Linked DNA regions of Xenopus tropicalis. The protein of the gene in region 7 interacts with the protein of the main gene of each other region in a biochemical or structural test. Links are inferred from orthologs where the notes say so. Each region holds a gene or a part of one and is shown on either strand. Other genes may lie near its edges. The genes, in order: peli1, rnf8, otub1, rbx1, trim63, rnf4 and ube2n.

Region 1 (4,599 bases), on a different chromosome or scaffold from region 7:
CTTGGAGAGCAACACAAGCATCATAAAAGTTCATGGAGGTGCCAAAGGGCTAAGATTGTCTATTAGGTAACATCTATGCACACTATCAGCTTCCAGGGGGGCTTTATTTGGCAGTACATCTTGTTTTTATTCAATCAAAACTTGCTACCAAGTCAGCAATTCAAAAATAAGTACCTGGTTTGGGAGCACTGAGAGCAACACCCAAGAGGTTGGTGAGAAACCTGTTGCTCACGAGACACTGGTTGGGGGATCACTGTACTAGACTGTACAAATGTTGACATTTAATCAACTTAGTAGAACACATACAGTATGTGGAAAAAGTACAGTTACTATGGGTGGGTGATATCGGGCGAATTCAGGCTAATTCGGTCGTTTGGCGAGCCGATGCGGTCCCCTGATCTGACTAAATTTTTTAACCTGCCCAATCAATATCTGTCCAATTTCAGGCCAGATATCAGTCAGGCAAGGCCTGTCGTTGGTGCCCCTACATGGGCGAATCAGTCTAAGGGACGATATCAGCAGCTAGAATCGGCCCGTGTATGGCCACCTTTAGGGCTCTGGCACACAGGGAGATTAGTCGCCCGCGACAAATCTCCCTGTTCGTGGGCGCCTAATCTCCCCGAGTTGCCTTCACCTGCCATCCCACCGGCGACAATGTAAGTCGCCGGTGGGATGGCACACGCGGCGGCGCTATTTCGAGAAATCGCGAAAAAGACTCGCGAGGTTCGGGGGGGGGGGGGTTGGTCGCCCGCGAACAGGGAGTTTTGTCGCGGGCGACTAATCTCCCCGCGTGCCAGAGCTCTAAGTGTGCAACATGTACACAGTAATAACAAACAGAATGAGTACATGAGCCCAGACAAATACGCTTGGAGGATTAACTGTATGAGAGAACAATGAACTAAGCTCACAGAACTGCTCCCATGCCATAATACACAGCTGGCCCAGGAAGGCTCCAACAACAGAGAGGAAGCTCTCATTTTAACAAGGGGAGTGGGAAAGAAGAAATGAAAAAAAGACATGACTGGGTGGAATGCATACAGGAAATTGCTTAAAAAGGGGGAAAAAAAACCCAAGGCATCAGTATGACAAGAGACAAGCAATGCTGCCAAATAAGACTGAATTAAGATTCTCCATGAATGGGACAAGACAAGGGACCTTGTGTTTGATTACAAAAAGGAAGATACCACAAAACGATAAACAGTACAGCCTCGAGCCATATCTGTATATTTAAAACAGGATCAATAGTAACCAGCTTTCTTATAAAACGTAATGTCCAACCTTACATATTAACTCCTATGCTACCAAAAATGGTACAATGACATGTATATTATGTTCTCTGTCATGTGGTCATATACAATTAAACTTGAAATGTGGAACAGATTACACAAAGCTACTATAATGCTATCGGTTAATAAAGAGTATATGCATACAAAGCAAGTAAACAACCAAAGGTATTTGTAGAAACAGACTGGGAGTTGAGCAGTCTCAGAAAAACACCAGGCAGTCTGTGTGGGTTGGAAGTGTGCGTGGGGCAACAGCTGCCAAACAAATATAAAGACCCAAGGAGGGTTCACCAAAGGTGGAAGGGAAAATAATGCCACAATCTAGCATAGCAAATGCTCAACAGAACAGCAATCTTCATACTAAGGCCTTGTGCACACTGCAGACCAAGTGTGTCCAATTCATCTAGTGTAAAATCTAAAATCACCTAATCCAGCTGTCTTGAGATTTAAATCAGTCAAACTGAAAATTCAAATAAAGAGAAAAGTATTCAGACCCAAATAAAAGCATGGCCATTTAGATTAAAGAGGGTGCACGGCTGCCCATCCAACACTGCAACTTGCAGGATCTTCTCTCCAAATTGGCAAGAAAAGAGGGTGCAATGTTGGTGTTTCTGGCTAAAGGTGGCCATACACGCACCGATAATATCGTACGAAACCTCGTTTCGTGCGATATTTGGTGCGTGTATGGTATGTCGGCGAGTCGACCGATATTGCAGGAAGCTGCTGATATCGTCCGACTCGCTGATCGGACCAGTTGGAACATTTTGATCGGGCGCCATAGAAGGCGTCTGACCAAAATCTCCCTTCAGCGCTGAATCGGCAGAAGGAGGTAGAAATCCTATTGTTTCTACCTCCTTACCTGCCGATTCAGCCCTGAATGGTGTGTGGTGGATCTGACGATGTTTCGTGCGACCGATGGTCGCACGAAACATCGTCAGATCGTCACGTGTATGGCCAGCTTTAGTCAGAATAATTTAGAGCACAATACTCAAAAGATACAGATACAAAAGATACCTATGAAGAACTAGGCCTCGCTCCTGCTACATATTGTAAGCCAGATGGTCCAATGAGTAAGATAAAATGATAATAATTAGATGACTCTATTGCCATAACCTCTCAGATCAAGTCCAAGTGACAGAGAGAGTTGCAGCAACCAGAACAATCTGACCAACATTTCCACCAAAACTCAACTCCTTTCACTACCATGGAAATTGGCAATTGACGTACATGAGCTTCCCATGCAACTGAGAGGATATGATTCACAATTAAACCACGTTAAACGTGATGTACCACAGACATCCCTGCACAACTAGCGCACAAATGTGTACATTAGGCCTGGGATGGTGTCATGCTGATTTAGTTGGTTAAAGATGACAGCGAAATCCAACCTGATGCTAAACAGCTATTGATGAATTGCAGCTCCCAAAGCCCCCCACCCCCAGGCAGGGTGTATGTGTGTGCAGCCCCCGGGATAGTGACGAACACTCCCCCCAGCACAGGCTGGAGTGCCGCAGGTTGGCCATGCCCGGTCTAGCGCACCCTTTCCTTGCCAGCAGTAAAGCTTTATAGCAATGTGGCGATCACTGGGTTACGAGGCGCGCACCCGAGGCAGATTACAACTACACAAACGGGGGGGGGGGGGGGGGGGGGGGGGTAGATGTAGGTTCTCACGACTTACATAGCAACCGGGCCCCCGCACACGATTTTCCGTATTCCTTTCGCCTCCTTGTAAACCCAGCTGGGCGCTGAGGGCGGAACAGAGCAGCACCTTGCCTTTACCCCAGGCAGTGACCGTGTAATGAATAAAAGCTGGGAATATCCCCTCTCGGAGACCACTTCCTTCTACGCCTCCGCCTCTTCCTTTAGCGAACAATAACTGGATCGTTCCCGTTGTCTCCCAGCTAGAAGCAGCGATTGCAGCAGCAACAACGCTTGTGTGAGGCGCTGGGAGGCGAAGGAATGGCTAGGCTGTGACGTAAGCAAGCAAGGCCGGAGAGGCACGGCTTGTTTGCCGCAAGGAACTATGGGATGTGTAGCCATAACTCTGTAGGAAATACAGCAGAGGGAGTGTTGTTGCTTTATAGTGTGTAGGACAGCAGAGTAGCTTACCTCAATCAATGTATTTCTATGAATTATTAACATTTTAATCCTGAATCTGTAAATAAGGGTAAGGGGTTAGTTTGCCTGGTAAAGTAATAATTGTTCACAAAACTATTTCAAACTATTTCAGATTTACTAGCAAGAACATTCATTTAGGGATACATATAGGCAATACATTAGGGCATGTGGGTTAAGTTGGTGCCCTGTACTAATGTATTTAGTAAGGGGGAATTCAAAATACTTGTGGCAAGGTGTCTGACCATATAGTGGTGTAAAAATTCCAGCAGTATCTAAATTTTGATAGCCACAATTTAAGTATATTGCAATATATGGACAAACAACCCCTGCTTTGCTTAAAGGGGAGGGCATATCTTGGTAGTTTAATGCACAGAATGTCTTAACCTTGACAGCAAGCAAGTTGCATGTAAAACTCAGCCCCTTTGTTAAATGTATATTGAAGCAGTAGTATTCTTAATGAATCAGATAAAAGTTAGTGTAGGACTGGCCAGACCAGGGATAACTTTGATGCAGTTGGCCAGCTTGAATGTATTACATTTATGGACAAACAATCCCTATTTTGCTTAAAGGGGAAGGCTTATCTTGGTAGTCTAATTCGCAGGATGTCTTAATGTCCTATATATATATATTATATATATTGATAATGGGAGTGCAGAGGACCTCTTGTCTGCATGAATTTTGTGGTCACAGCCTCATTGTACCCCTGCCTAATGGTTTAAAATTTAGTGGTAAGCCCAACCTTTTTTTTTGCTATAGTTAATACAGGAACAGTGGCCAGCTCCATCTTGTAGCTCCCACCCTTTCTAGTTACAGTCTAGTCAGGTGATCCCAATGGGTTAATAAAAGGGCAACAATTTTTGGGGGGTTTTAACCTTGAAAGCAAGTAAAGGTGGCCATACACGTAGCAATTCCGATCTTTCATGTAACCAAAGATCATTCCCACCCTCCACTGACGTTCAGGGCTGAATCATCAGATATGGAGGTAGAAACAATAGAAATTCTACCTCCACCTGGCGATTCAGCCCTGTAGATTTTGCTTGGGCGCCTTCAGTGGAGCCTGATCAAAATCTTTTAACCTGGCCGATTGACAACTTGACTGATATCCACAGCCTTTTGCGATATCGGTCGCCTCTTCGAGCCGTAATACACGCACTGAATATCGGTGTGTGCATGGCCAGCTTAAGTTGTAGGTAAAACT
Region 2 (4,838 bases), on a different chromosome or scaffold from region 7:
GTCAGTCTATAGTACTGTCACCCATAATGCAGTGCAACGTGCTCCAGTAGTGCAGTAAAGCAAGTTCATATCACACCCCAGTGGTGCCATTAGCAAGGGGGGTTAATCATTCGGATTGGCCCTATCTTTGCGGGGGCCCCAGAGGGAATCCTGGGCTTCTTACAAAACAAGTGCAAAGCATCCTGGGAGCCTTTATTTCAGCCTGAGCAAACCCCATGTGTGCTGACCCGGCTGTCAGGGATTTGGGGGAGTGGATCCGGCTTTGGATAACGGACCTCCAATGTGTATATAGTATGGATTTGGCCCTTCCCCTGCCCCATCACCAGGCTTCTGCCAATGAGACGAGGAGCACAAAGTAACAAGGGGAGGATCTAAGACCCCGAGGCCTCCAGCCTCCTGGGGCAAATCATTGAGGGTCAGCTTGTTGGCGCGGGGGGGGGGGGAAGATGGGGAGAAGGAACCAGGGCACCCATAGTCTTACCCAAACCAGAGGGGGGGGGCAGCTGTAAAGGTTCTACAGGCAGGTAAGTGGCCCTTGGATTCTCACTAAAGAGAGGTTTTGCCCACGAGCCAATAAAAGAAGAGGGATGAGTGGGCAGGGCGGCATTATCATTGGACCACAGTGTCACATGGTGCCACGGTCTCCCGCGGGGGCTACTGATCCAATGCTCGCACCCACTGAGGATGGAAATAAAGGACTGTAACATAAATACCTGGAACTGCCGCAATCACCCCAAGCTGGGGCATATTTATTATAGTGTGTAGGGCAACATCATCGGTAACGTTGCCCATAGCAACCAATCAGATCTTTGCTTTTGTAGGCGACCATTAAATTCTAATTGCTGATTGGTTGCTATAGGCAACATCACTGGTGTCTGCGTTTCATGAGGGGTGGGCGTGTCCTAACGGTCCCTGCCAGAAGCACAGTAGGAGGGGGAGAGCCAATCACAGCCCTGCACTCACACAAGCACAGACAGGCTTCAGTTCCCTATCAGGTCAGCCTAGCTGCTGATTGGTTCCTATCCTACAGTGCCGCCGCCCCCCTGCACAGCCTGGGAAAGGAGGCGGCAGGAAGTGGCACAGATGGGCGGGGCTAGTGGGGTTTTGGTGGAATTTCTCAATAAATCAGCCCTTGCAGAGAGATTTATACTGCTGGAAGAGGCAGCTATCTGGTTGTTAGGGTCCAATTGAATTTAGCAACCAGGCAGTGCTTTGAAGGAGAGACTGGAATATGAATAGGGTCAGAGGCCTAAATAGAAATGTAATAATGAAAAGTAACAATAAAACTGGAGCCTCACAGAGCAATAGGGTTTGGCTGCCGGGGTCAGTGACCCCCATTTGGAAGCTGCAAAGAGTCAGAAGAAGGGAAATAATTACACAAGTAGACAAAAATAAAAACAAAATGAAGACCAATTGAAAATTTGCTAAGAATATACTATTCCGTAACACCCCAAGCTGAACAAACCCAATAACGGGGCGGGAAATGTCGGAATTCTCGCGAGATTACAGTGACGTCGCGCCAAAGCGGCCAATCAGGATCGGCGTCAGCGCAAGAGCTAAAGGGACGGTTTAAACGCAGAATATTGTATTAAACATCACTAATCCGTGAGAGCGGGCGGCGCGGTGTAACGGGAGGGATTCCCGCACCTCATACATACGGTTTATATACAGTTTCTATACGGTTCATAGACGCTCGGAGTGAGGGACGCGGCGCATCACGTGTGCATGACGTCCCCGGAGGCCGAAGCGCCGCTTGGACCCAACAGCGACCCGTACCCAGACCTTACACAGATGGCGCTCGATTGTTCCTGCCTGCGGGCGGCGGGTGAATAACTCGGGCTGCGGTTGGTCGGGGCTGTGCGGATAGGCGGCCGTTGTACATCTCGGTTTATCTGGCTGCTCCGGGGCGAAGGGCCGGGCCCCTGACATGGCGGACGGAGGCCCCGGGATGTGTTGGTACCTGAGGCGCTGCGGGAGGAGCGAGGAGTCGCTGCCATTGCCTGACGGGGAGGAGGTGAGGGCGGGGCCTGTAGCAGCCAAACAGTCCGGGGGGCTTAGGGGAGTTTGGGGGGGCAGGGCTCTTGGAGGAACAGAGAGGGCGCTGTGGGGGGGGGGGGCTGTTCCCTGGGGGGCACTGTGGGGGGGGCTGTTCCGTGGGGGGCACTGTGGGGGGGGCTGTTCCGTGGGGGGGGGGCTGTTCCCTGGGGGCACTGTGGGGGGGCAGTTTCCTGGGGGCACTGTGTGGGGGGGGGCTGTTCCCTGGGGGCACTGTGTGGGGGGGGGGCTGTTCCCTGGGGGCACTGTGTGGGGGGGGGCTGTTCCCTGGGGGCACTGTGTGTGGGGGGGGGCTGTTCCCTGGGGGCACTGTGTGGGGGGGGGGGCTGTTCCCTGGGGGCACTGTGTGGGGGGGGGGCTGTTCCCTGGGGGCACTGTGTGGGGGGGGGGCTGTTCCCTGGGGGCACTGTGGGGGGGCAGTTCCCTGGGGGCACTGTGTGGGGGGGGGGGCTGTTCCCTGGGGGCACTGTGTGGGGGGGGGGCTGTTCCCTGGGGGCACTGTGTGGGGGGGGGGCTGTTCCCTGGGGGCACTGTGGGGGGGCAGTTCCCTGGGGGCACTGTGTGGGGGGGGCTGTTCCCTGGGGGCACTGTGTGGGGGGGGGCTGTTCCCTGGGGGCACTGTGTGGGGGGGGGCTGTTCCCTGGGGGCACTGTGGGGGGGGCAGTTCCCTGGGGGCACTGTGGGGGGGCAGTTCCCTGGGGGCACTGTGGGGGGGGCAGTTCCCTGGGGGCACTGTGGGGGGGCAGTTCCCTGGGGGCACTGTGGGGGGGCAGTTCCCTGGGGGCACTGTGGGGGGGCAGTTCCCTGGGGGCACTGTGGGGGGGCAGTTCCCTGGGGGCACTGTGGGGGGGCAGTTCCCTGGGGGCACTGTGTGGGGGGGGGCTGTTCCCTGGGGGCACTGTGGGGGGGCAGTTCCCTGGGGGCACTGTGGGGGGGCAGTTCCCTGGGGGCACTGGGGGGGGGCAGTTCCCTGGGGGCACTGTGGGGGGGCAGTTTCCTGGGGGCACTGTGGGGGGGGGGGGAGGAAGGTTTGGGGGAGAGACCCTTGGTTGGGGGAAACTTGGGGTGCAGAGAGCATTATGAGTTTGGGTGGGGGAGCCCAGAGAATTGACCCCCCAGTGATTATATCGGTCTGTGCGTCTCATTCATTTCTCTGTTTGTGTTCAGGTCACTATGGGCCGAGGCCTGGGGGTCACCTACCAACTGAAACCCACCCTGTGCCCCCTCATGATCTCCCGCACCCACTGTCTCTTCAAGCAGAACGTCCGGGGCGAGTGGACTGTGACTGATAACAAGGTACCTGCACCCCCAGATACACCCCCTACTGTGTCTGTGAGGGGCTGTTCCTGCTGAATTGTAATTAGTACAGGGGAATCCCTATGTGCCATAGTTTTATGGTATCTCTCTGTACAGGCTATGAGCAAACTTAGGAGGCTGTTCCTGCTGAATTGTGCTTAGTACAGGGGAATCCCTATGTGCCATAGTTTTATGGTATCTCTCTGTACAGGCTATGAGCAAACTTAGGGGGCTGTTCCTGCTGAATTGTGCTTAGTACAGGGGAATCCCTATGTGCCATAGTTTTATGGTATCTCTCTGTACAGGCTATGAGCAAACTTAGGGGGCTGTTCCTGCTGAATTGTGCTTAGTACAGGGGAATCCCTATGTGCCATAGTTTTATGGTATCTCTCTGTACAGGCTATGAGCAAACTTAGGGGGCTGTTCCTGCTGAATTGTGCTTAGTACAGGGGAATACCTATGTGCCATAGTTTTATGGTATCTCTCTGTACAGGCTATGGGCAAACTTAGGGGGCTGTTCCTGCTGAATTGTGCTTAGTACAGGGGAATCCCTATGTGCCATAGTTTTATGGTATCTCTCTGTACAGGCTATGGGCAAACTTAGGGGGCTGTTCCTGCTGAATTGCCCAGGAGTAGTAACCCATAGCGGCCAAGCAGCAATCAATGGACTCTGTATAATTTGTAGGGTTGTGGTTGGGGGGGTGCAGGCTCTGCAGTTGGGCGGGGCTGGGTATGACTGGGCGGGGCTGGGTATGACTGGGCGGGGCTGGGTATGACTGGGCGGGGCTTTGCTTTCCTATTCAGCCCAGTCTGGTGCTTTCATTTCCTGCACTGTTGCAATGTCTCTCCCTTCCCAGAGTCTGAATGGGGTTTGGAGGAACAAGGAGAGACTGGAGCCCCACAAGGCCTACACCCTGAGCGAGGGGGCCCTCATCCAACTGGGGGTGCCCCCACCCAACGCGGAAAGTGCTGAGTTTGAGTACAGGTTGGTCCGGGAGCATCTGGACAAGGTGTCGGGCTCTGTAATGCGGCCGCTGCCCGGCAAGGCCAAAGCCCCGAGGGCCAAGCGCAAATTCACCGCGGAGGAGGCCGACGCCTCGGGAAATGAGGGTCCGTCCAAGTTGTGCCGGGTCTCCAGGGGGGGCGAGGCCTCGACCAAATCCTCCCGCCCCCCTCCCCTGGTCACGCAGCCTACGGTCAGGGCGGGGCCCACGCTCCCTGGGGTGGAGCCTGAACTCAATGACTCTCTGGATGCCGATGCGGTGGCCCCCACCCAGCGCCAGTGCCGCAGCAGCCTGCAGCTCTCCCGGGTCCGGCAAACTATGGAGGAGATCCGCCGGCTGAATGTGCAAGTGCAGGAGAAACAGATGGAGGTGCAGGAGAGGCTGAACTGCCCCCCCGAGAGCCAGCGGGGCCCCAACTGTGTCCTTGCGGTGCAGAAGGAGCTGCAGGAGCTGCGCAACCAACTGAGCAATGAGCAGGAGCAG
Region 3 (4,723 bases), on a different chromosome or scaffold from region 7:
AACTGGTCACATGTGCACCAAGATGAATAGAATTACTAGTTACTAACAGAAAAGAAACAAAGAAGAAGGTTTAGCAAAGTTATACTGGCAGTGATACTTTTCGCTAGTCTGAAATGTATAATACTATCACCCTGGCAAAAATACAAATTAATCTTGAGGCAAGACTCTCTATACTCTTTCTTCTTCCTGCTTTCTTTCTCTAAACTGTTATTTTTTTGTTGTTAAAATCCTAAATAAAAACTTTATAAAAACTTTAATTTATAAAAAAAAATCTTGAGGCAAGAGTTTTATTAATATTTGTAACTTCCTCTTCAGGCACTCTCCTTTTCATCTTGCAGTCTGCAAATCACTGCTCGCTGCTAGTATAAGCATGACCCTAGCAACCAGATCATTTAAATCCCAAACTGTAGAGGTATGGAACAAAATGTTAAATAGTTTGCAAACCAGAAAGAATTAAAGCTTCAGTTGCAAGATGTCTGAGAACAGACTGGTGCTTTATATTGGGCCCTGTGAGGGGCTCTTTGTGCCCTGGAACTGTAGGGCCTAAGCCCAGGCATGGTGGGCAGAAATAAATTCCAGGGTAAAAAAAAAAAAAAACAAATCCACAAAGAATGAAAAGATGAAGACAAAATGTAAATTGTGTCAGAATACCACTGTAAACAAAAAGTTAATCTGATGGTGAACTACCCAATGAAGGGTGATATAACACTGGGCAAATTGTGGTAAATTGCATTCATCGTTAGGTAACAAAGTGTCCTTAAAAAATACCATTTCCACAAACAAGAATTAGCGCAGGTAAAACATATATATTGTGTAATCAGCCAAAGTGCATAAGGGGGCAATTTCATGTGGTTACGCATTTCATATCACCCATGGTGATGAAGGGTGCTCCTTGCCTCAGGAGGCTGCGCCCAGTAGGTTACCAGGGGCTTATTAAGTTTCTCTGATGCTAAAAGGGTGTGTGGGGAGGAGGTGAGGGAGGCTACATTGGGAAGGCAGCCTCAGAGTGACATTGGTCCCAAATTTGCCCCTGACAGTGATTCTTGCTGTTACCAAATGCAATTTATTTTAGGTGCTTTGTTGTCTGTGAGAGAGGCGATTTCACATGGACTATAAAGTATACAGTGTGCCATTACCCTAAGGCAGGGGGGAGCAAACTACGCCCGCGGGCCACATTCGGCCCATTGGTCTTTTTAATCCGGCCCGCTGACTCCACAAGTCTTGTCATGAGAGACTTGGTGTCAAAGGACTGACGAGCGGAAATGGCGTAACGCTGGCTCGGCCTGTCTGTAAGTCAATGTGGCCCCTGAGCCGAGAAGTTTGCCCACCCCTGCCCTAAGGGCAACGATACATGGGGAGATTTTGAAAAAAGCCTGATCATGGTGACAAATCGCCAAAGTTCCCTTTCCACAAGGTCCAAGTAGCCACTGGACTCTTTTTGAGCGAGTAGCCACTATACATGGCAACTTGTATATATGTGCGTGTAACGGGAAGTGTGGTAAAAATCATGGCAACTAATCTCTCCATGTGTCACTGCCCTTAAGGAGAACCAACCAAAAATAAGCAGGGAATGCTGGTTTGTTGTAACTGAATTCCCCAACCCAGTGATATTCTTTGAAAAAAAAATATTACCATCTAGGGTACCCTTGTGCTTCTGCACAAAATATGGTCGAACACGCTGCACGATTATACTTACCGAGAGGCGCCTAACAAATCAGCATCCCTAGGAATTCTTTTGCCTCGCCCACCTTTATGATTATTGTATTGGACATGGGGGATAGAGAGTTGTCAACCTGACATCTAGGCTTTCCAGGGGAACAGAAAATGTTCCCCCATACCTGGAAGTGACATAATGGACGTCACGCAGGCCTCTCGAAGCGACGGCATGCGCAAAATCGCTGCTGAAGCTGAAAAATTCCCCCACAGACGCACAAATGCATCAACTTACGTCACTGAACGCTTACTATACATGCATGCATCAAATTCACTTCAGGACTTCGGCAAAAATGGAAAAACACTGCTGGGGGACTGGAGAAATCGTCTGACTCCCAAAGAAGTGGTGGAGGGGGGGGCTTGACAGCTCTGGTGATAGCAGCAGATGTGTCTGTCACAGTGGTACCTCCATTCTTGGTGCATTTAATAAAAAATATATATAGATTGAGATGACAATTAACTTAATCAGCTCCAGGGAGAGAATGCATGATATCAGATCTGATATCTCCTTCCTTAAATAAACAAAGCCCTGTAAAGACGTACAGAGCAGATAGCTTTAATGCAAGCGGGCTGTGCATTTCCATATGAATCCCATGGCCCCTGTGTGTGCCCCTGTATATGGCCCCTGTGTGTGCCCCTGTATATGGCCCCTGTGTGTGCCCCTGTATATGGCCCCTGTATATGGCCCCTGTGTGTGTGCCCCTGTGTATGTCCATATGTCCCTGTGTATGGCCCCTGTGTGTGTCCCTGTATGTGTGTCCCTGTATATGGCCCCTGTGTGTGCCCCTGTGTATGGCCCCTGTGTGTGTCCCTGTATGTGTGTCCCTGTATATGGTCCCTGTATATGGTCCCTGTGTGTGCCCCTGTGTATGGCCCCTGTGTGTGTCCCTGTATATGGCCCCTGTATATGGCCCCTGTGTGTGTGCCCCTGTATGTGCCCCTGTGTATGGTCCCTGTATATGGCCCCTGTGTATGGTCCCTGTATATGGCCCCTGTGTATGGTCCCTGTATGTGTCCCTGTATATGGCCCCTGTGTGTGTCCCTGTGTATGGCCCCTGTATGTGCCCCTGTATGTGCCCCTGTGTGTGCCCCTGCAGCCTGTACCCGCACCTCTCTCCTCCCTCCCACTCCCCGTTATACTGTGAGAAGCCGATAGGAACACGCAGGTACACCCCGCAGCCACTAACTCTCTCACCGTCACAATCACTTTGCTGCTGCCGCTCAGATTCTTCCGCCGCCATATTTCCAACCGACCGCCGCCACTCCAATCACTTCCGGGAGACTACAAACCGGAAGTCCCTCCCTAATTTCATAGCACAGCGCCGGATGAGACGGTTCCTATAGTAACTGTTCGCTAGTTTATAGTAGAATAAAGCGCTCAGCCAGGCGATACTAAGCAGGCTGTATTAAGCACGAGATAGTTGAATACCTTTAGTGCTATGTATACTTCATTGGTTATATGTGGTGCTAGACTAGTCTCCTGTAATACTCACTGAGCTTTCTATGTCACCAAGTGTTCCTTACTTTAAAGGGGAACGTCAGCTTCCGAACTAAGATTTGTTAGAGAGCCCCACACAACACACAAAATATAATATACCTATTACTGTAATCTGTTTCTTCAAAAAAGTATGACTAAATGCCATTTTTATATAATGAAATCCAGCTGCAAAACAATCTTCCCTTTCTGTATCATTTGAAAATCCTGCCAGGGGAAGAGGGACTAAAACACTGATGTTACAAATTGTAACATCACCACAGCTTACACATAGCATGCAGGAAATACATAACCCACAATGCATTGCACTTATTGATGTGTGCAGGGGATTGTGGGATTTGGAGCATGCAGGCTGAAGGAGGAGGACAGTCAGTTACTGTTATATTGGTTTGAGTAGTCAGATCAGCAAGTCAACAGGGGCCAGGCTTTGTTATAAACCACAATATTACATTAAAATCCTGTAACTGGTGGGAACCCTGGCTAACATTTATCAACAACTTTCATACACAAACCCGTTGACATAAGACCCTATAGAACCACTACTCTAAAAAACTAACAAGTCCCTGATGACATGTTTTATCTTTTATTTGCTTCTATTCTTTCTCAAATGTATTTAAAATTAAAAGTAATAACTTTTGTTACTCCTGACCTCACAACCTGTTTGTAAATGCAGATCATTTCAAATGTCCTTACCCTATTCCCTTCTTTTTTTCTGTACCCCATTTTCTCTGAAAAATCAAAAATAAAGAATATATAAAAAAAAAATCCTGTAACTGGTGCACGTTTTAATTGGTGTATATTGCAAAGTTCCTTGAAATTATCTTTACTTTTCAAAAAGCTTAAGTTGTGTTTGGGTGGTTTTCCCCTTTAAAGCACAGTCAGGTTTTTCCACTGTCAGTGGACTATTTAACTGGTGAAAACTACACAGAATTAGTCAATGAACTTGTGGAGCAAAGAAGGGTTGCTACCCGGCTGGCGTTTTAATAGCCTAGTCATTAAGAATGATGCTTATAATTTGCTAAGGGAATCAGTGACCCCCATTTAAAAGCTGCAAAGAGTTAGAAGAAGAAGGCAAATAATAAAAGAACTATAAAAAAAACCACAAATAATGAAGACTAATTGAAAAGTTGCTAAGAACTGGCCTATTGGTGTGTTCAATAACATACTAAAAGTGAACCACCCCTTTAAGAGCAACCAAGGGTATAGTTGCAAAGGTTGCTACTGCATCACAATCCCCATATCAATGGATTGATTGGCACAGAAGAAGAGTTGCAGTCAAATGTTGCTTTTGTAAGAACCAGGAATTCTGTAATTCTGTACTGCTCTTCCCATGGAATCCATTCACTCTCAAAGCCATTTGCAAAGATTTCTAGCAGCCCTCCTTTATCACCCGCAGATCCTGTGGGTTTTGGGCTAGCCCACAAACTACTTACCAGTTTCTAAAATGGATCCCTCTTTGTGTTTCCCCTGTGAGAAAGTAGCAGTCGTCTATGTGAGATACAAAGTGGCACACAA
Region 4 (3,978 bases), on a different chromosome or scaffold from region 7:
GTTTCTCCAAAAAAACTATATTATATATTTGATACTAAGTCACTGAATATCCATCAAAGCTACTTACATTACACACACCCCATGCCACAGTGCATTCCTCAGAAGTAGCAGAAGCTTGGTTTGCTTGGCACTCTATGCCTAGAAGATACAAGAGGATTATTTTTATTTTCTGCATTTGTACCATTCAAAGGGGTTATTCACTTTTTCAAAGATAAATGTATATATAAGCACTGGGACTAACTAAAATGTTGCTTACAGACAACAGTTGTTTTATCGGCTAAAGTTCAATTAAGGAAACTTACACAAGTCCATGATGTGGTTCCTGCAGATGGCACAATTGTCCACTACAATGTCCCAGGCCCAAAGGGCAACTGCATTCCACTGCAACAAAAAAGAAAAAAAAGTTAAAGTGATGTAAATTTTGGCAATAAATTAAATATGTTTTAAAACTCATCTAATCACTTAGCACAATCTGCTCTAAGTTGGTTCATGTGTATAGAATTACCGGTATGTTCGATTTACTAGTTTAGCCAGTTTTACCAGACAATGGCTTTGGAGTCTTACTGGAATGGTTAAACGTGGCCCAAATGTGGCTCAATGAAGGCACCAATATCAATGTGCCTAGATCAGGGCCGGAATAATGGGTGCCAGACAGGTACCTCTCCTGCCTCCCCCTAGTCTGCACTAACTTGTCATTTCCTTCACTGCACGTGGGTATTATGCATGGGAGGGTGCAGGGGTAAGGTGGCCGACCAGGTTGCCTAGGTGCCCGGTCGGCTTGGCCTGCCTCTGGCCTAGATGCTTGGCAGACCCTGTTACCTCAACATGTAGCCTCACACAGAGCTGGATAAGAGTGTCGTCTTGATGACCCCCCCCCCCCTTTTTTTTTTTTTTTTTTTTTTAACAGTAATCTCAGGTCAGACTGTATACAACAGCTCCATCAGGAGCTTATTTCTAACAAATAAAGTGTCTATACCATAAACATATACTTTTCACTAATTCACTCAAATTAAAAAAAAAAAAATATATAAAAAGTTGGGGAGCAACACAATCATGATAAAAGTGACAAATAAGGGCTGTGATTGGTTATTTGGTAGCCCAATGCAAACTGGCAGAATAAAGGAGACTATTTGGCAGTACAGATGGTCTTTATGCCTACAAAACTTGCCTTCAAATTAGACATTAAGAAATAAACACCTGTTTTGAGGCCACTGGAAGCAACATTAAAGGGGGTGGTGAGCAACATGTTGCTCATGAGCCACTGGTTGGGGATAACTGATCTATAACATGAAGGGAGAAGGACCCTCTAAGCAACTCCATAAAAAGGTGATTTAAAGCACAAGTTGGGGGATGGAAATAGGAAAATTTCCAAGTCTCTAACTATAACTGGACATACAGTTACATCTATCATTTAGAAACTGAAAGGGTATGGCATAGCTGTAAATCTGCCAGGAACAGGCCATCCACGAAAAGAGAGTGAATGTGCAAGGAGAAGAATAATGTAGAAGGTCACTAAGAGACCCATGACAACTCTGTGGCTGAAATTGGAAAGGCTATAAATACAACAAATACTGCCCAGTAGTGGAAGAAAGAAAGCCACTGTTAATCAGGGTTGGACTGGGCTACGGGACACTGGGGAAAAAGCCCAGTTGGCCCCAGCCTTCATTTAGGCTTACCCAGTGGCACATACTACAAAAAAAAGTATATTTATATGAGAATGGCTTTTTTGGATGAAGTAGGGTTTTACATATGAGCTTGTATATGCAATACATATTTAGAGACCTACATTGTTTCGGAGTATAGTTTTCCTTTAAGTATAGGGTATGCAGGGTCTGAGGGAGAGGAGGCTGTAATGGCAACATACACCAACAATGGCACATACACCATGTTTGATACTGTAAGCTAAACACACCATGCCCTGCAGAACTATGGTGGCAAAATCATCACGCTGTGAGAATGCATATTCACAGCTCCTGTACCGTAGGGGTATATATATCATGCTGTGCAAAAAGTGGAGTAAAACATCACCGATGAAGTTTATAGCAGCCAATCAGAACTGTTGAAATCTAATAGCCGATTGGTTACCCAGCTCAACACCACTGATAATGCTTCACTCCACTTTTTACACAGCATGATTAATATACCCCTACATGTGCTAAATGCAAGTCATTTGACCCCTACATTTACTTGTTCAACAATTTATTTTTTATCAAATAGCCCCGTTTCTTGCTCTCACACCGCTAAAAGCCCAAGACACATTCCCTGCCTCCTCCAGGGAAACAAATGAGCAAATGAGACCACGCAATGTCTGTGGCCCTACAGCTCCCCCGCAAACTCGTGAAGTGCGGCTACATGATCCCGCCTCCCAGTGCAGCTGAGAGGGGCACTTACATTGGTTAGAATTCATCCAATCGTTTGTGGCATCAGTAGCTATCCGCTATTGGGCCGCCGGAACGACAGAAATCACCGCTTTGCCAAAACGGACCGCCCTAAGTATTAGGGTTTAACATTTGATTCGGCGGAAAACACGTCAATCAAACATCTAAAAAGCTTTAGGGCGCAAGCAATCTAGCTGAATAGTATCAGCTGCTGCACTGTCGCCCTCTTTAAGTATTAGTTAGAAAGACTGTTCTGATCATTTGCTACATCCATAACATACGCAAGCAAGCACACTTACCTTCTTAACCTCAAAGCGCTTCTTACTAGCGCTGTTATTCGTTCCGCTTGGTGTGTCTACATCCATTGCGGCTGCCATTTTGAAAAGAGGAAATTCCGGGTCTATATGGCGCATGCGCCGAAAGCTGGGCTGATGCCTTGGTCATGTGATTAGCATTAAAGGCGCACAGTTTGGGGCGTGTTAGTAATGTGTGTGGGGGCGGAAGACGGTAACGAGGAAGAGCTGCGGTCTGCAGGCTTGGAGAGAATTTATTTAAAGGCGTAGGCACATGCTCCTTGAGGGAAGTAAAATGTACAGATTTAAGCAAGCTAGCCTTTTCATCTGTTCGTATTCACTAAGGGGCTGTGGTGTTCTGGTTAAGCAAAATATTTCTGTATTGAACAGTTAACCCTTTCACTGCCAGCTGATTTGGTCAAAGCAGAACTTGTATTGCCAGACTGTTTTGAAACATTTTGCACTCTTAGGGCCTTTCCTTGGGGGGACTTTTAGTTTACACAGGAAAACAATATATCTTTTTTTTTTGGGGGGGGGGGCGACCTAAGATTTCAAAATATGGTAGAATTTTTGTGTGATTCCAATTCTGGAACAAGATATAGGCTTCTTAATGTCTAAAAGATTAAAAAAAACAAAAACAACAAAAAAACAACAACACGTTTTCCGTAATATAAACACATATAAAAGAAACAAATGATTTTATGCACAAAAATACAACTGATTCGGAAAGTCCCATGTCTCCTGAATGTGCCAGCACCAAATATATATATAGTTTTATGTCGATTTCTCATTTGTGTGATTCAAAAATTCCCAGCGGTACACTACCTACCAAATTTCCAAAGCACTGCTCCAGAAAGCTTGCATACTTAAGATTTTAACACCTACATTTCAGAAGGTTTATACCAGAAAATTATACATTTTTGGAAAGAACAGATTCTGAGGAATGGAGAATAGGTTAAAACTGTCTGTCTACTCCAAACTACGAAGTTGCAATGCTTTCCTAAAATTATTGTTTTTTTATCAAAATTTATCACAAAGCTAAAACTGTAGTACTGTGTTAGCCAGTGTCAAAAATAATAATAAAAAAAACAAAATACAAGAGTATTATATATAAAAATAACATTGCAAGCTTTCGGAGCTCTAAGGACCCTTCGTCAGGCAAAATATGTATAGGTTTCCACAAGTGTGTGCAATGTAGGGGCCCTAAAATGAAAATACCCCTATATGATCTATCATTTCTGTCATTTCAGCTCCTGCAAAATCAACATTTACATTATTTTATGTGGAATGAAGCTACAAAAAATGAA
Region 5 (2,864 bases), on a different chromosome or scaffold from region 7:
AAATGTTCATGGGGAGCAGGATTTTTTAATATAATGGTTGCAACCAAGCCTTGGTAAATAGGGGGAACTAAAATATTAATGCAATTAGTGCCTCTGTAATAATAGTTGCAGGATACCACCATGAGACTCATGCAGATGCAATATAAACCATGACCTTTGTTATAGAGACATATGTGTAAATTTGTCTATGACAAATGTTCTTACCTTCAAGTGTTTCTTCTTCAGTTTCTTCATATTCCTCTATATCATCTTCCTCATCTTCATCACAGTCTGTAAAAAATAACATTTAGCGGTACAGTACTTCCCAAATGGCTGATACAGCATTCTCATTAGTCTATTTTGATGCAGTTATGGGTTTCCTCTAACAGGTTCTCAAAATCACTGACCAAAGAAAGAGTGTATTTTACATTTGTTCCATGGTGACAAATATCTACCTTTTGACTAGATATGTTAAATAAACCCAATGACAAAATCAGTCTGTCTTTATTTTTTTTCAGTATTTGATTTTTTTTAATTTATACTACTACTACTTGGTGAGTGTTTTATTTACTGTTGCTTTTTTGTGCCTTTATTTTTGGTTTCGATAAAAAGCATGTAATGGTAGTTCAACTTTACATAAACTTTAACTATGATTGAACAGATATTTTGATGAGTGACAATTGTCTGAGACAATTTGCAATTGGTCTTCATTTTTCATCTGCTTGCTTTTGTCCCATTTCCCTAGCAACCAGGCAGTGGCTTAAATTAAGACTTCAAGATAAAGATATAGGTGAGGGTCTGAATAGAAAGTTATGTAATGGATAGTGATAGAAATAACAAAAAAAAAATGCAGCCTCGCAGAGCAATAGTTTTTTTTCTTTTTTACTTTTTTTCAGTGAACCCCATTTGAAAGCTGGAAAAAGACAGAAAGCAGCAAATAATTGTCCTACTTTTTTATTTAATTTACATTACTTGAAATAATTTTTGTAACTGATTTACTTTAAGAAAATTCCTTTGTAGACTGTATTTGTTTTAAACAATGATGACTATATTCTTATTATCAAATGCTATTGTCACCCCAAATCCTGCATTAAACAAGATCCTTTCCAACCATGATTCTCAGCTCACTTGGAGTGAAGTCAATGCTTCTCAGACACTGGCTGACATGTTCCATATCCAGGGTGAACTGGTCCATATTTTCAAATCCATGATCAGTCTTCTCCAATTGGCAGCCTTTGGATGCTTCCATTAGCCTGCAAATACAAGAGTTAACATTTAAATAAGCTGAACAGCACTCTGAACAGCTGCATTCTTAGATATCCCTAACATAATATAATAAAATAAAAATGGGCAAAATTTGCCCAAGTATAATGACCCATAGCAACAAATCAAAAGCAATGCTTGCTTTTGCATCAGACATGTATTTGACAAATAAATGCTACCTGCTGATACGACTCCTTGCACTAATTGCCATTCTACAACTTCCTCTTATGTCACCTCCCCATGTTTCTTTCTATAGCCCTTCCTTACTGCTGGATCCTTTGAATGTTTTCATTTTTTTTTACTAGTTGCTTCTCTGAGCAAAAGGCACACTGGTATTGTTTTATTATGAACTCGATATGGCTGAATCACCAGTTCATGCAGTAGGTAACAATCATATGATTTTCATGCTTTGGATCTGGAATGTTACTTACTTTTTAATAAGCTGTTTGGACTCCTGTAGGAAAACAGCAGAAAAGAAAAGGTTTAGCACAGCATAAGAGAGGTACAACATAAGAAATAGAAAATGTTTAAACTAAATTAGACCGCTATAAATGGATTTTTAAAGGATAAATTTATAAGACACAGGCAATTTGTATTTCCTGGATTTAATTTACACTATATTTGGGGTGTGTTGACCTATTATGCTCTGATTGTGTTGAAAGCTGTATTAACCTTTTAAAACTGTGGTGTCACATACTCTGGGTAGGTACATAGGTACATTTAATACTCTGTGAGCAGCATCGCAATATACTGTTCTTGCAAGTTGGATGCAGGGGGTATTCTGCCCAATTGGCTGGCACTGTTTGCATTGTGGCTTAATCTGCTTGACAACTTCCCTGAATAAATACAATAGAAGGCCTATTTATAAAGACGAGTAAAATATTTTATGCCCTTGTTTTTTGACCCCCCTTCCCTCTTGCCTTCTGTATCCCCCATATTATATGTTTGAAAATAAAGAATATTTAAAAAAATATATATTTTATGCCAAAAAAGTCATACAAAATATAACGTGTATTTCTAAGGTTCTTTTGTTGCCTTTACAGCAAAAATTTTTGGCATAAAAAGAGCCAGATCTGTTTAAAATGCAGTGGCACTTAAAGGAACAGTAACACCAAAAAATGAAAGTGTATAAAAGTAATTACAATATAATGTACAGTTGCCCTGCATTGCTACAACTGGTGTGTTTGCCTCAGAAAGACTACTATAGTTTATATAAGTTAGCTGCTGTGTAGCCATGATGTTACTGTTCCTTTATGCCTGTTTTTGCTTGGCTTTTTGTATTTAATACATCTTTTAATCCGGAAGTTTAAATGGTGCACTATGAAGCTAAAGGTATAGTTCACTGTTACAAAATTTGACTTTGTATTCACATGCCACTTTTTTTTTTTACTCGTCTTTATAAATATGCATGTAGAGGCATTTATGTTGGAAGTCCCAGTAAATTACCAGAAGAAAGTTAGCAGGTCCAGGCTGTTCCATAGCCTGAAAAGCATTCTGTAGCACATTGGATGAGGACTGGAGCTGTTCCTGATACCGTACAATGAGAGAACGCACAAAGTTCAACTTCTCTTCCTCAGCTTGTGAAATCCGCTGTACCAGATGAGTCTTTTTCTCCTCCAGGT
Region 6 (4,084 bases), on a different chromosome or scaffold from region 7:
CGGCTTCAGCAGCTGAAAGATGATGGGTTATAGGCATTGGTGGGCTGAACCAATGCCTATGAGATTCTTTAATTTCCACTTTGTAGCTCTCTCTATTGTTTAAATATCGGCTCTCTAACACCCCTAGGTTGTTTTTTTTGCTGGCTCCTAGCAGCCCCTGTGGAGATGCAGACCCAAGACTTACACATTTTCAGCCATAAGGATGAACTAGAGGTTGGGCAAAATGATTTTATGGTTCTGGGGTTTCCTTATTAAGGATTTAATAGGACTAGAAAAACTATACCCCCCAAACAATGTAGGTCCATATAAAAATAGAATCCATGAAAAAGCTCATATGTAAAACCCTGCTTCATCTAAATAAAACATTTTCATAAAAATATACTTTAGTAGTATGTGCCATTGGGTAATCCTAAATAGAAAACTGCCATTTTAAGTACTAAGGGCCGCCCCCTGGGATCATAGGATTCACAGTGCACACAAACAAGCCAAGGCACACATACATGCTAGGCCCCATCAGCCAATGAATGGACAGAGTTCTTCCTTTGCTCCCACACTACTTCCTGTTACAGTTAAAGCTGCATTAGTTCCTGTCAGCTGATCTCTGAGGGAGCACACAGCCCATCACTAAATGGTGGCTCAAGGGAAAGGATGTAAAAAGGCAATATTTACTGATATATATATTCCAGTTTGGAATATTCTTTAATTGAACACTTAATATGATACACACTATCTGCTGGTTAACTTTCCATTCTGGGGGTATATTTTTCCTTTAACTATACATTGACTCAGAAAACAAAAAAACATGCATGCACAGTATACACACCCATCCCAAAATGCACTTTACTTACAACAACAGAGTCATTGATACTCAAGTCATTGTTAGTCAAGTCGACAACGACTGGTTCCGTGGATTCACACGTAAGATCAACAACTTCTTCCCCTGCAAAAATACAGGAACCTTGATAACTGGGCAAAAATACACAAAACTGATAATATATCTAGGCTCAACTCTATACAAGGTGGAATATATGAAATATATCATAGTGACAAAGAACTCTCAGCCAATTAAAGCTGCTAATGATTAACTGAAAATATGGAGTTTATAAGATTAAATGGAGAGGAGGTGGACACTGAATGGTTGGTAAGTGGTTCAGATGTGGGTGCATGAGTGCGGTTATTTCATCTGCTCTGCTGCATGTATCAATATGCTTCTGTGCCATAATCAGTGACTCCCATTTACTATCACAGCCCACTGTAATGTTGCTGAAATATCACCAAGGAAAAAGGATTTCAAAATAAACATCAATCAATAAAAGCACTTGTGTTTTAGGGATGCACAGAGCCCGGGTAATTATGTTCTTTATTTATAGGGAAGTAGCCATTAGCAGAATTATACAATCCATCTGTGCCCATCCCCAGGCACACAAAGGGCTGATGTAATAGGAACCCCCCCCCCCCCAGGTAAAAGAACTACTTTGCCCAATGGTTTCAGCGACTCGGCACTGGGGAGAACCCTGTGGGAACCACCGGACTAACCTGTGTTATGGTCACAGAGCACAAGAATAAGATACTATAATAAGTAAAAGGTTGCTATTGTGAGTTCTGATATCCATCTCACATGTTTATAAAGCAACCTAGCATAATGAAAACCATAAATAAACCATAGGTTTTCGGCTTCAGAGAGATACTATTTTGATCCTTACACTACTGAATTATTTTTTAAACACCTAGATATAAAAATGTTGCTCTAAGCAAATTTTACATTATACTTTAAAAGCCTAAGAAATCTGTATTTACAGTAAGTCAACTGTTACTGAAAGCAGCATCTGTCTGTCCTTTGCTATTCCCGGCACTGCTGATCCAGACTACATGCACCCCTGAAACAAAGTAGCAGCTGGAAACACTAATTCCCACAATGCTTTGCTTTGTTATTGTTAATCAACCTGTAAGTGTAAGGCACAGAGGCAATAGGGAAGCTAACTACTGCTATATTGTTTCAACAGTACACATAGTCAGGATGAACCTTAAAGAAAAATATATTTTTTTCACCAAAATTCAACAATAGTATTTCTGTAAAGCTGTGGCTCTATGACCTCCTGCCTTTTCCAGCCACTGCAATAACTTGAAGTTAAAGCCAAAACATACCACTTTCCAGTTCAATGGGCTCCGTCGCCGCTGTCATTGCGGCAGTGGAACCTGGCGCCCTTCTCTTGGACGACTTTGAGTGACCTGGCTCTGCTCCTTTACGTTTTCTTTGAGCCTGGAGGGGAAAAATAACCAGTGGGAAAAACCATAGCTTTATGTTGGAGGGGTTTTGACCTCCCCAATTAAGAACTGTTCTTACAGCCAATCAGGCAGCTTTGCCTTCAAGGCCAGGGTAGTAGTGACCAAGGCTAGCAGAACAGAATCCATCCAAATCACGGGGGGATTGTACAGGGTTATATACCTACGCAGAAATTTGCACTCTGAAGCCTATTATCTGTGTTACTCAAACTGGCCATCACGAGTGACAGAAATTATAACACAGAAAATGCACATTTGAGTATCTGCCTATGATATGCATAGAAAAGCACTTAAAGAAGAAGTAAACTTTCCCCCCCCATCTTTAAAATTACTCTAAACAACCCTCAGAATAACATACTTTAGTTCCTGCATTCAGTCTGATCTGATTTCTGATTTATAAGTTGAAATCTCCAGCTTCTTTCTTCTTCTTCCTGGAACAGCGTGAAGCCACGCCCCCTCTTCCTGTTTAGCTCTTCTCATCTCTTCAACTACAGGGTAGTCTAAGAGGAGAGCCTTCCAGTGTTGGACTGGCCCACCAGGATTCCAGGAAAACTCCCGGTGGGCCCTCCTGCTCCTGACCATTTGGCCTGTTTCATGGTCATTCCCTATTTCTGAATGGGAATAAAGGAGGTTGGGTGAGGAAATATGGAAAACTAGTTTGGGAAGCGGGCCTAGGGTCTAAGGTTTTCAGGTGGGTTTCTGGGAATGCCCAGCGAGTCAGGCAGTTATGTATGGGCACAGAAAAAAATCTGCTGCACACTTATTCTGTAGTCAAATAGATGAGGAGAGCTGAACAGGAAGAGGGGGCAGGGCTTCACACTGTACCAGGAAGAAGAGGAAAGGAGCTGGAGATTTGAACTTATAAATCAGAAACCAGATCAGACTGAATGCAGGAACTAAGGTATGTTATTCTGGGGGTTGTTTAGAGTAATTTTATAGAAAAAAAAACGATATATATATATATAACCCAACAGAAGGCCTATGTTTATAAGGGGAACAGAGGCTGGACACATTGTAAATATAATATAAATGATGCATCTGCTCCAACAGAGCCAGACATTGCAAGATGGGTACAAACACACTTGACACAAATGCCCTGTTATTATAATTGCATTTACCACAAGTATTGGGTGTGTAGCAAAGGTTTTTTTTTTTTAACACGAGATACCATAAACACCTTACAAGAATTCTGCTTAGCCTTTGCTAGTCAATTATATACTTTCATGTGCAGCAATACATATAAATACATTATATAAAACACTCATCAACTTTTCAGCACATCTTCCATGCCTTACATTGCATATGTCGTTGTCTCTTGATATTTTGTTTTTGTTATAGTGACTTTAGGTGACTGTTTAGTTAATATGCTTCAGTCTCAGTTACCTTGGATAAGCAAGACTCCCTTCTACTCGTTTTATTATTCAGAATTACGATCTTCTACTTTTTTCCTATGCAAAGTCACTAAAGTGAAACAAAACCGAAAATCACTTGCTTACCCACCAAACAATTGAATATCCAAAAAAATCACCTTAAAAGTAAAGTATCGCCTGGAAATAAGAGCTTCTCAAACACCAACACCATCTCAGGGTTGCGGCCTTAAAGGTCCATTAACCCCAAAACAGATTGTAAGTATCTTGGATTTAGCTAATAAAGTTAAAATATTTTTAATTTATGTTCTGTACTTGGGGCCCACGTTACAGTTCTGATTGGTTAGTTCCAACTATGTTTTACATACCAGCTCTACATTGTATTTAGCAATTAACTATATTAAATTCTGAAACAATTGGGAATTGCTATGGTC
Region 7 (4,601 bases):
CTCGCTCATCAAGACTGCTGAATTAGAATGTCCTCAGTGGAAAGTGGAGGGATTATGATCAATATGCAACTCTGACACATCAAACAATTGCAACTTGGTCTAACTGCATTTACATTTTGTCAACAGGTTCTATAAATATTCAACACAGTAAAAGGCTTAATCTTTCCCATAAGGAATGGTTGTGGGAAAGATCTTCAGTAGGCAGGTAGGGTAACTAAAAAAAAAAGAGCAAAATCATGTGAACTAGCTATAAACTGAAATAGAAATCAGGACAAGAAATATCATGAAAAAATGGTATGTAATAGTGAATAAAACTGAAAAATAAAGAAGCAGGCCAGTAAATGTACTGATGCCTTTGAACTCGAGTTAGTAATAACTTTTGAGAATACCACAGATAGCAAGGAACAAACATGGATCCTTGACAAGATCAAACCAGACTTTCCACTTGATTCGCTAATAAGAAAACTGAAGCTTTCTTATGTTAGACATATCAGAAGATCATGATAATTGCATTAGACAATTTATAAACGTTGAATGGAAAATAAAATGCATGCAGGCAATATCTATATTGTTGCCAAGGGTCAACACCCAATTGATGGCACATTATTTCACTGCATGTTATCTTATGTATGTTAGAAATACTCCAAGGAAGCCATAGTGAGATTCAGATTTGCTGTGTAGCTTCAAATAAATATTTTACATGTAAAATACGGTTTCATTTTAACTGCAACAGCAAAACAAACCAAAAACTTTTACAACAAATATGCATTAAATGATAATATGCATTAAAACAAAACATCTAAGGGCTTTTTAAGCCAAATGATTTTAACCGTTTGATTTTATTTAGTGATGCTGTCTACACCATCACCAACATCTCTCTCCCAGCACTCAGTGCAGCATTTTGACAGGTTGCCAGCAATTAGCTTTAGAAATTAAAGTGGTGTAAGCTGGAATCATGACAGGAAGTGCTGGTGATCTGTTCCTGCTGAATTAAACTACATATACCACTTTGGTGCATGGTTTATATGCCAGTTTTTCTGCATGTGTTACAGCGATGCACTTAAATAGCTACTATATTGAAAGCAAGAGTGTGCTATATTTTTCAATCTCATCACATCCAGCCACAAACTTCTTCCATTTCATCCGTGTATTTTGCGAAATGTTTTCTTTGTATATCAGATGTATGTAAGAAGTCCAGCAAAAATATTTAATTATACATGTGAGGTTGGAAAAAAGGTTCAAATACTGGTTAAAAGTATCTTGCATAATATATGATATAATTTAGACAGGAAATGTGGAAACACTGCTGACAATATAGAAGATGGTTGTCACTGATTCACATAAAAAAGTGAAGCAGATAGAGCTTAGCAGAGGCAGACATCCCAAAAAATGAACATTTAAAATATTTAATTAGAATTTAAGTAAAATCTGGGCTTCAGCACAGTACCTAGTCCAATATTGATATTCATAGGCCAATTTCCCAACCACTGTAAATGGCAATACTATCAACCTAAGTTACCCAACCATTTAGCATGAAGATTTAAAGGACAGATATCTGCTTCCTTCAGTGCCTCACATCATATGACATTCAACTGTATCTTTATTTGACTTAAAGGGATGATGCAACTTCAGAATAAAGTATATGCCATGCGTTCCACAAATAAATGTTGTGGCTGAAGTTCTGAAAAGCTAATAGTGAATCCTGTGGCAAAATATAACCTATCACAAGCTGCTGGGACAAGAACAGGTCTTCTGAGAGACTGCACATTACGCAGAGACACCACAAAAGAGGGAACCTGGTTGCCTCTTTAGAGCATTGACAGATGGAGCTACTTGTTGTGGCTACAAAATAGACAACAGTAAATATTCTCAATATGTGTTTCAGCAGAGACAATTCTCAGTATTATCTATAGAAGGGTATTTTCTGGTACTTTGTGGCTGCAACTAGTAGCTCTGTGTGTCATTAAGTAGTTTACCTAGAATAAGAATTCTTAATCTAGGTGTTGGGGAACCACAATGAATCCCCGTCCACGCTACTTAGGTTGGGTCTCCATAACCTTTACCTGACCGAAAACGCCACTGAAGAACAGTAATTACGAATTATAATATGGTGCTTAAAGGATCCTAAATTAATTAGTGGTTCGTGAGTTGTTCCAAAGTCACCTGGATACCCCAGAAAAACGTAACACTTACCTAGAAGCAGCTCTGCGCTAGTATTTAGTAAGGGTAAAATCCCCCTTAGCATGGCTCAACCAACAGCCATGTAAAAATGTAGAATACATTGGGGTACAGTGACAAGCAGAACTATTTGGCTCCCAATTTAACTAAATGAGGTGCAATAAATAGTGAGCCAAGATGAAATATACCCTCCTTACTAATCAATAGCCTACCTATATATAAAATGGTCTACTGCCGACACCTCTGCCGTCAATTGATGCAGTAAAATGCGATATAGCTCCTAAACACTAAGCACACGTATTAGTAATGGCATGCAGTGTCTGGGGGAGTCACCCTATGTGCTACAGTGTAACTCATTCCTATATACCCCCCCCCCCATATCTGTACCCTTATGTAGCCTTAACGCTAACAGACTACAAGCAAATGGCGTGGGTGTGGTCGGCACAAGGTTTTACTTCAAGCACAAAAAATAACGTTGTCCCCATATCCCCGTTGGGGTGGTTTCCTATACAAGGCGCGCACACATAGCGACCCCGGACCCTCAACCCCATCAGACATCACTACAGGCCCAGTACCACCCGGCGGGTGCCATGTTGAAGCGGGCTGGAGGGCGGGGACATTCCCGGGCCTTGTCTCCATTCATTCGGATCAATGCCGCTGATCTAAGCCCAAGACATAACGTAAAGCAATCGCTACTACTTCACTAGCTACAAGCCGCCAATTACCTTGATTATCCTGCGAGGCAGCCCGGCCATCCTGTCTTATAATGCGTGCAGCCTCCAACTCTCTGCGTGCCACCGGATCCCCCTGTCACGCACAAGTGAGAGCGCGGCATCCGCTTCCGCTGACGTCATTGCGACAGCCCACAGGCTCATGGGAGATGTAGTTGTAACGGGACTCGTTATTCCTCTCATGTATAATGATGTAATCACGCTTGTTGGTGTGTGTAGTCAGAATGTTCATTTTAGCCCAAGGAACAATGCTTAAGTGTTTCAGTATGTCTTCTATGCACTGCCTGTAGCGAGCATAGAAGACATTGAAAACCAACAAGACGTAAGAAACGAACAGTCGTGTTAGCATGATGAGGTTTCAGCTTCACCCCACCCCATACAGCTGGCGAGACAAGAAATGAAACTGGAGTCAGACTATGCTATAAGGCCTGAAAGTAGGACACCTTGAATAAAACCATATGACTTCACTATTATATTAGCAGAAAAAAAAGCAACTTCATATTAACACCCTCTGAATGTAATGTTAGGCAGGTAGCAAATGTTTTGATTCTTTTGGTAACAGAATATAAGACTCTACTTGAATAGAAGTCGGGGTAATAGTGTATAGAGCCAGTCTATCAGAAATTGTTTACACATTTTGCAGAAACCCCAGCATCAACAAAAGCTTAATTCATGGTGGCTTAGTGGACTGCCTTGCAGTGCTGGGATCCTGTATTCAAAACCAGTTTGAGCATGCAAGGAGTTGGTATGTTCTTTCTGTGTCTGGAGTAGCTCTGGCTAGTCCAGTTCCATCTCACACACCAAAAACATATAGATAAGTTAACTGCCTACTCCCTAAAATGCTTTCCCACTGGCAATAAAGTGACTTATTGGTGGAAAGGAATATGCAGCACTACATTGGCCAAAGTTTCTTGTGCAGAAAACATTGCATGACTGGAAAACAAAGTGACGTGTGTGCTTTCCCACCAGCGATCTGACTTTAACTGCAGGCGGCTAATCTCCCTGTGTGCCACTGCCCTTACAGTCTAAGGTCCCTATCACATTATGGTCAGTAAAATGAGTAACCAATTAACTTGCCTGTATGTTTTTGGTGTGACACACATCAGACATCATTACAGGCCCAATACCACCCTGCGGGTGCCATGTTGAAGCGGGCTGGAAGGCGGGTACATTCTCTGGGAACATACTAACTCCTTGCAGATAGTGCTCAAGCCATGTGTGCTTTCCCACCAAAGATTCATTTTATTGCCAGTGGGAAAGCATTTTAAGGAGATTTGTTGCCAAAGTTAGCCACAGACAACAAATCTCCCTGTGTGCCACTACCCTAATATCCAATGAAGCAGAAGGTGCCTCAGAAATATGTTGGTGCATAAATACCAGGAAATAAATACAAACATTCTAAAAATTTCACTTGGCAGGCCTCAATTTGTTACTCGTGCCCTAGTGAATTTAATCGCTAACCTTGCATCACAGACCTACATTTGTACCTATTTCTACTGAAGGAGATAATATATTTTTTCAGACTTTATGCTCACAAAGAAATTTTTGTTTCTTGTCATTCTTTAGTACCTTTGAGCGGCAATCAGGACTGGGCAGAAAGGTCTATGGATTATGAGCACTATCCCTGTATTTGTGTTTATGTGTAATTTTATTTATATAGTGCTATTTATGTATGCAGTACTCTACAGCAAT

What was found.
Region 1: the proteins of ube2n (region 7) and peli1 form a complex in vitro, tested with the Homo sapiens proteins (2 studies listed by BioGRID). The link is inferred for Xenopus tropicalis from reciprocal best matches to the Homo sapiens genes UBE2N and PELI1.
Region 2: the proteins of ube2n (region 7) and rnf8 form a complex in vitro, tested with the Homo sapiens proteins (7 studies listed by BioGRID). The link is inferred for Xenopus tropicalis from reciprocal best matches to the Homo sapiens genes UBE2N and RNF8.
Region 3: the proteins of ube2n (region 7) and otub1 form a complex in vitro, tested with the Homo sapiens proteins (6 studies listed by BioGRID and IntAct, with this or other methods). The link is inferred for Xenopus tropicalis from reciprocal best matches to the Homo sapiens genes UBE2N and OTUB1.
Region 4: the proteins of ube2n (region 7) and rbx1 form a complex in vitro, tested with the Homo sapiens proteins (5 studies listed by BioGRID). The link is inferred for Xenopus tropicalis from reciprocal best matches to the Homo sapiens genes UBE2N and RBX1.
Region 5: the proteins of ube2n (region 7) and trim63 form a complex in vitro, tested with the Homo sapiens proteins (2 studies listed by BioGRID). The link is inferred for Xenopus tropicalis from reciprocal best matches to the Homo sapiens genes UBE2N and TRIM63.
Region 6: the proteins of ube2n (region 7) and rnf4 form a complex in vitro, tested with the Homo sapiens proteins (2 studies listed by BioGRID, with this or other methods). The link is inferred for Xenopus tropicalis from reciprocal best matches to the Homo sapiens genes UBE2N and RNF4.

What each region holds. Positions count from the first base shown.
Region 1 is NC_030681.2:32,547,173-32,551,771, reverse strand, and holds the start of peli1 (E3 ubiquitin-protein ligase pellino homolog 1), read right to left. Parts: upstream 3,239-4,599; 5' UTR 2,962-3,238; intron 1-2,961. UniProt on the Homo sapiens protein: E3 ubiquitin ligase catalyzing the covalent attachment of ubiquitin moieties onto substrate proteins. Involved in the TLR and IL-1 signaling pathways via interaction with the complex containing IRAK kinases and TRAF6.
Region 2 is NC_030681.2:2,800,718-2,805,555, forward strand, and holds the start of rnf8 (E3 ubiquitin-protein ligase RNF8), read left to right. Parts: upstream 1-1,849; 5' UTR 1,850-1,927; coding exon 1,928-2,014; intron 2,015-3,222; coding exon 3,223-3,351; intron 3,352-4,208; coding exon 4,209-4,267; coding exon of another isoform or gene 4,268-4,838. UniProt on the Homo sapiens protein: E3 ubiquitin-protein ligase that plays a key role in DNA damage signaling via 2 distinct roles: by mediating the 'Lys-63'-linked ubiquitination of histones H2A and H2AX and promoting the recruitment of DNA repair proteins at double-strand breaks (DSBs) sites, and by catalyzing 'Lys-48'-linked ubiquitination to remove target proteins from DNA damage sites.
Region 3 is NC_030680.2:36,046,048-36,050,770, forward strand, and holds the start of otub1 (ubiquitin thioesterase OTUB1), read right to left. Parts: upstream 3,026-4,723; 5' UTR 2,955-3,025; coding exon 2,909-2,954; intron 1-2,908. UniProt on the Homo sapiens protein: Hydrolase that can specifically remove 'Lys-48'-linked conjugated ubiquitin from proteins and plays an important regulatory role at the level of protein turnover by preventing degradation.
Region 4 is NC_030680.2:115,969,901-115,973,878, forward strand, and holds the start of rbx1 (E3 ubiquitin-protein ligase RBX1), read right to left. Parts: upstream 2,801-3,978; 5' UTR 2,792-2,800; coding exon 2,678-2,791; intron 382-2,677; coding exon 303-381; intron 139-302; coding exon 68-138; intron 1-67. UniProt on the Homo sapiens protein: E3 ubiquitin ligase component of multiple cullin-RING-based E3 ubiquitin-protein ligase (CRLs) complexes which mediate the ubiquitination and subsequent proteasomal degradation of target proteins, including proteins involved in cell cycle progression, signal transduction, transcription and transcription-coupled nucleotide excision repair.
Region 5 is NC_030678.2:76,882,407-76,885,270, forward strand, and holds part of trim63 (E3 ubiquitin-protein ligase TRIM63), read right to left. Parts: coding exon 2,689-2,864; intron 1,697-2,688; coding exon 1,674-1,696; intron 1,233-1,673; coding exon 1,108-1,232; intron 271-1,107; coding exon 205-270; intron 1-204. UniProt on the Homo sapiens protein: E3 ubiquitin ligase. Mediates the ubiquitination and subsequent proteasomal degradation of CKM, GMEB1 and HIBADH.
Region 6 is NC_030677.2:21,724,813-21,728,896, reverse strand, and holds part of rnf4 (E3 ubiquitin-protein ligase RNF4), read right to left. Parts: intron 3,745-4,084; exon of another isoform or gene 3,667-3,744; intron 2,261-3,666; coding exon 2,146-2,260; intron 941-2,145; coding exon 849-940; intron 1-848. UniProt on the Homo sapiens protein: E3 ubiquitin-protein ligase which binds polysumoylated chains covalently attached to proteins and mediates 'Lys-6'-, 'Lys-11'-, 'Lys-48'- and 'Lys-63'-linked polyubiquitination of those substrates and their subsequent targeting to the proteasome for degradation.
Region 7 is NC_030679.2:56,096,317-56,100,917, forward strand, and holds the start of ube2n (ubiquitin-conjugating enzyme E2 N), read right to left. Parts: upstream 2,952-4,601; 5' UTR 2,934-2,951; coding exon 2,904-2,933; intron 1-2,903. UniProt on the Homo sapiens protein: The UBE2V1-UBE2N and UBE2V2-UBE2N heterodimers catalyze the synthesis of non-canonical 'Lys-63'-linked polyubiquitin chains. This type of polyubiquitination does not lead to protein degradation by the proteasome.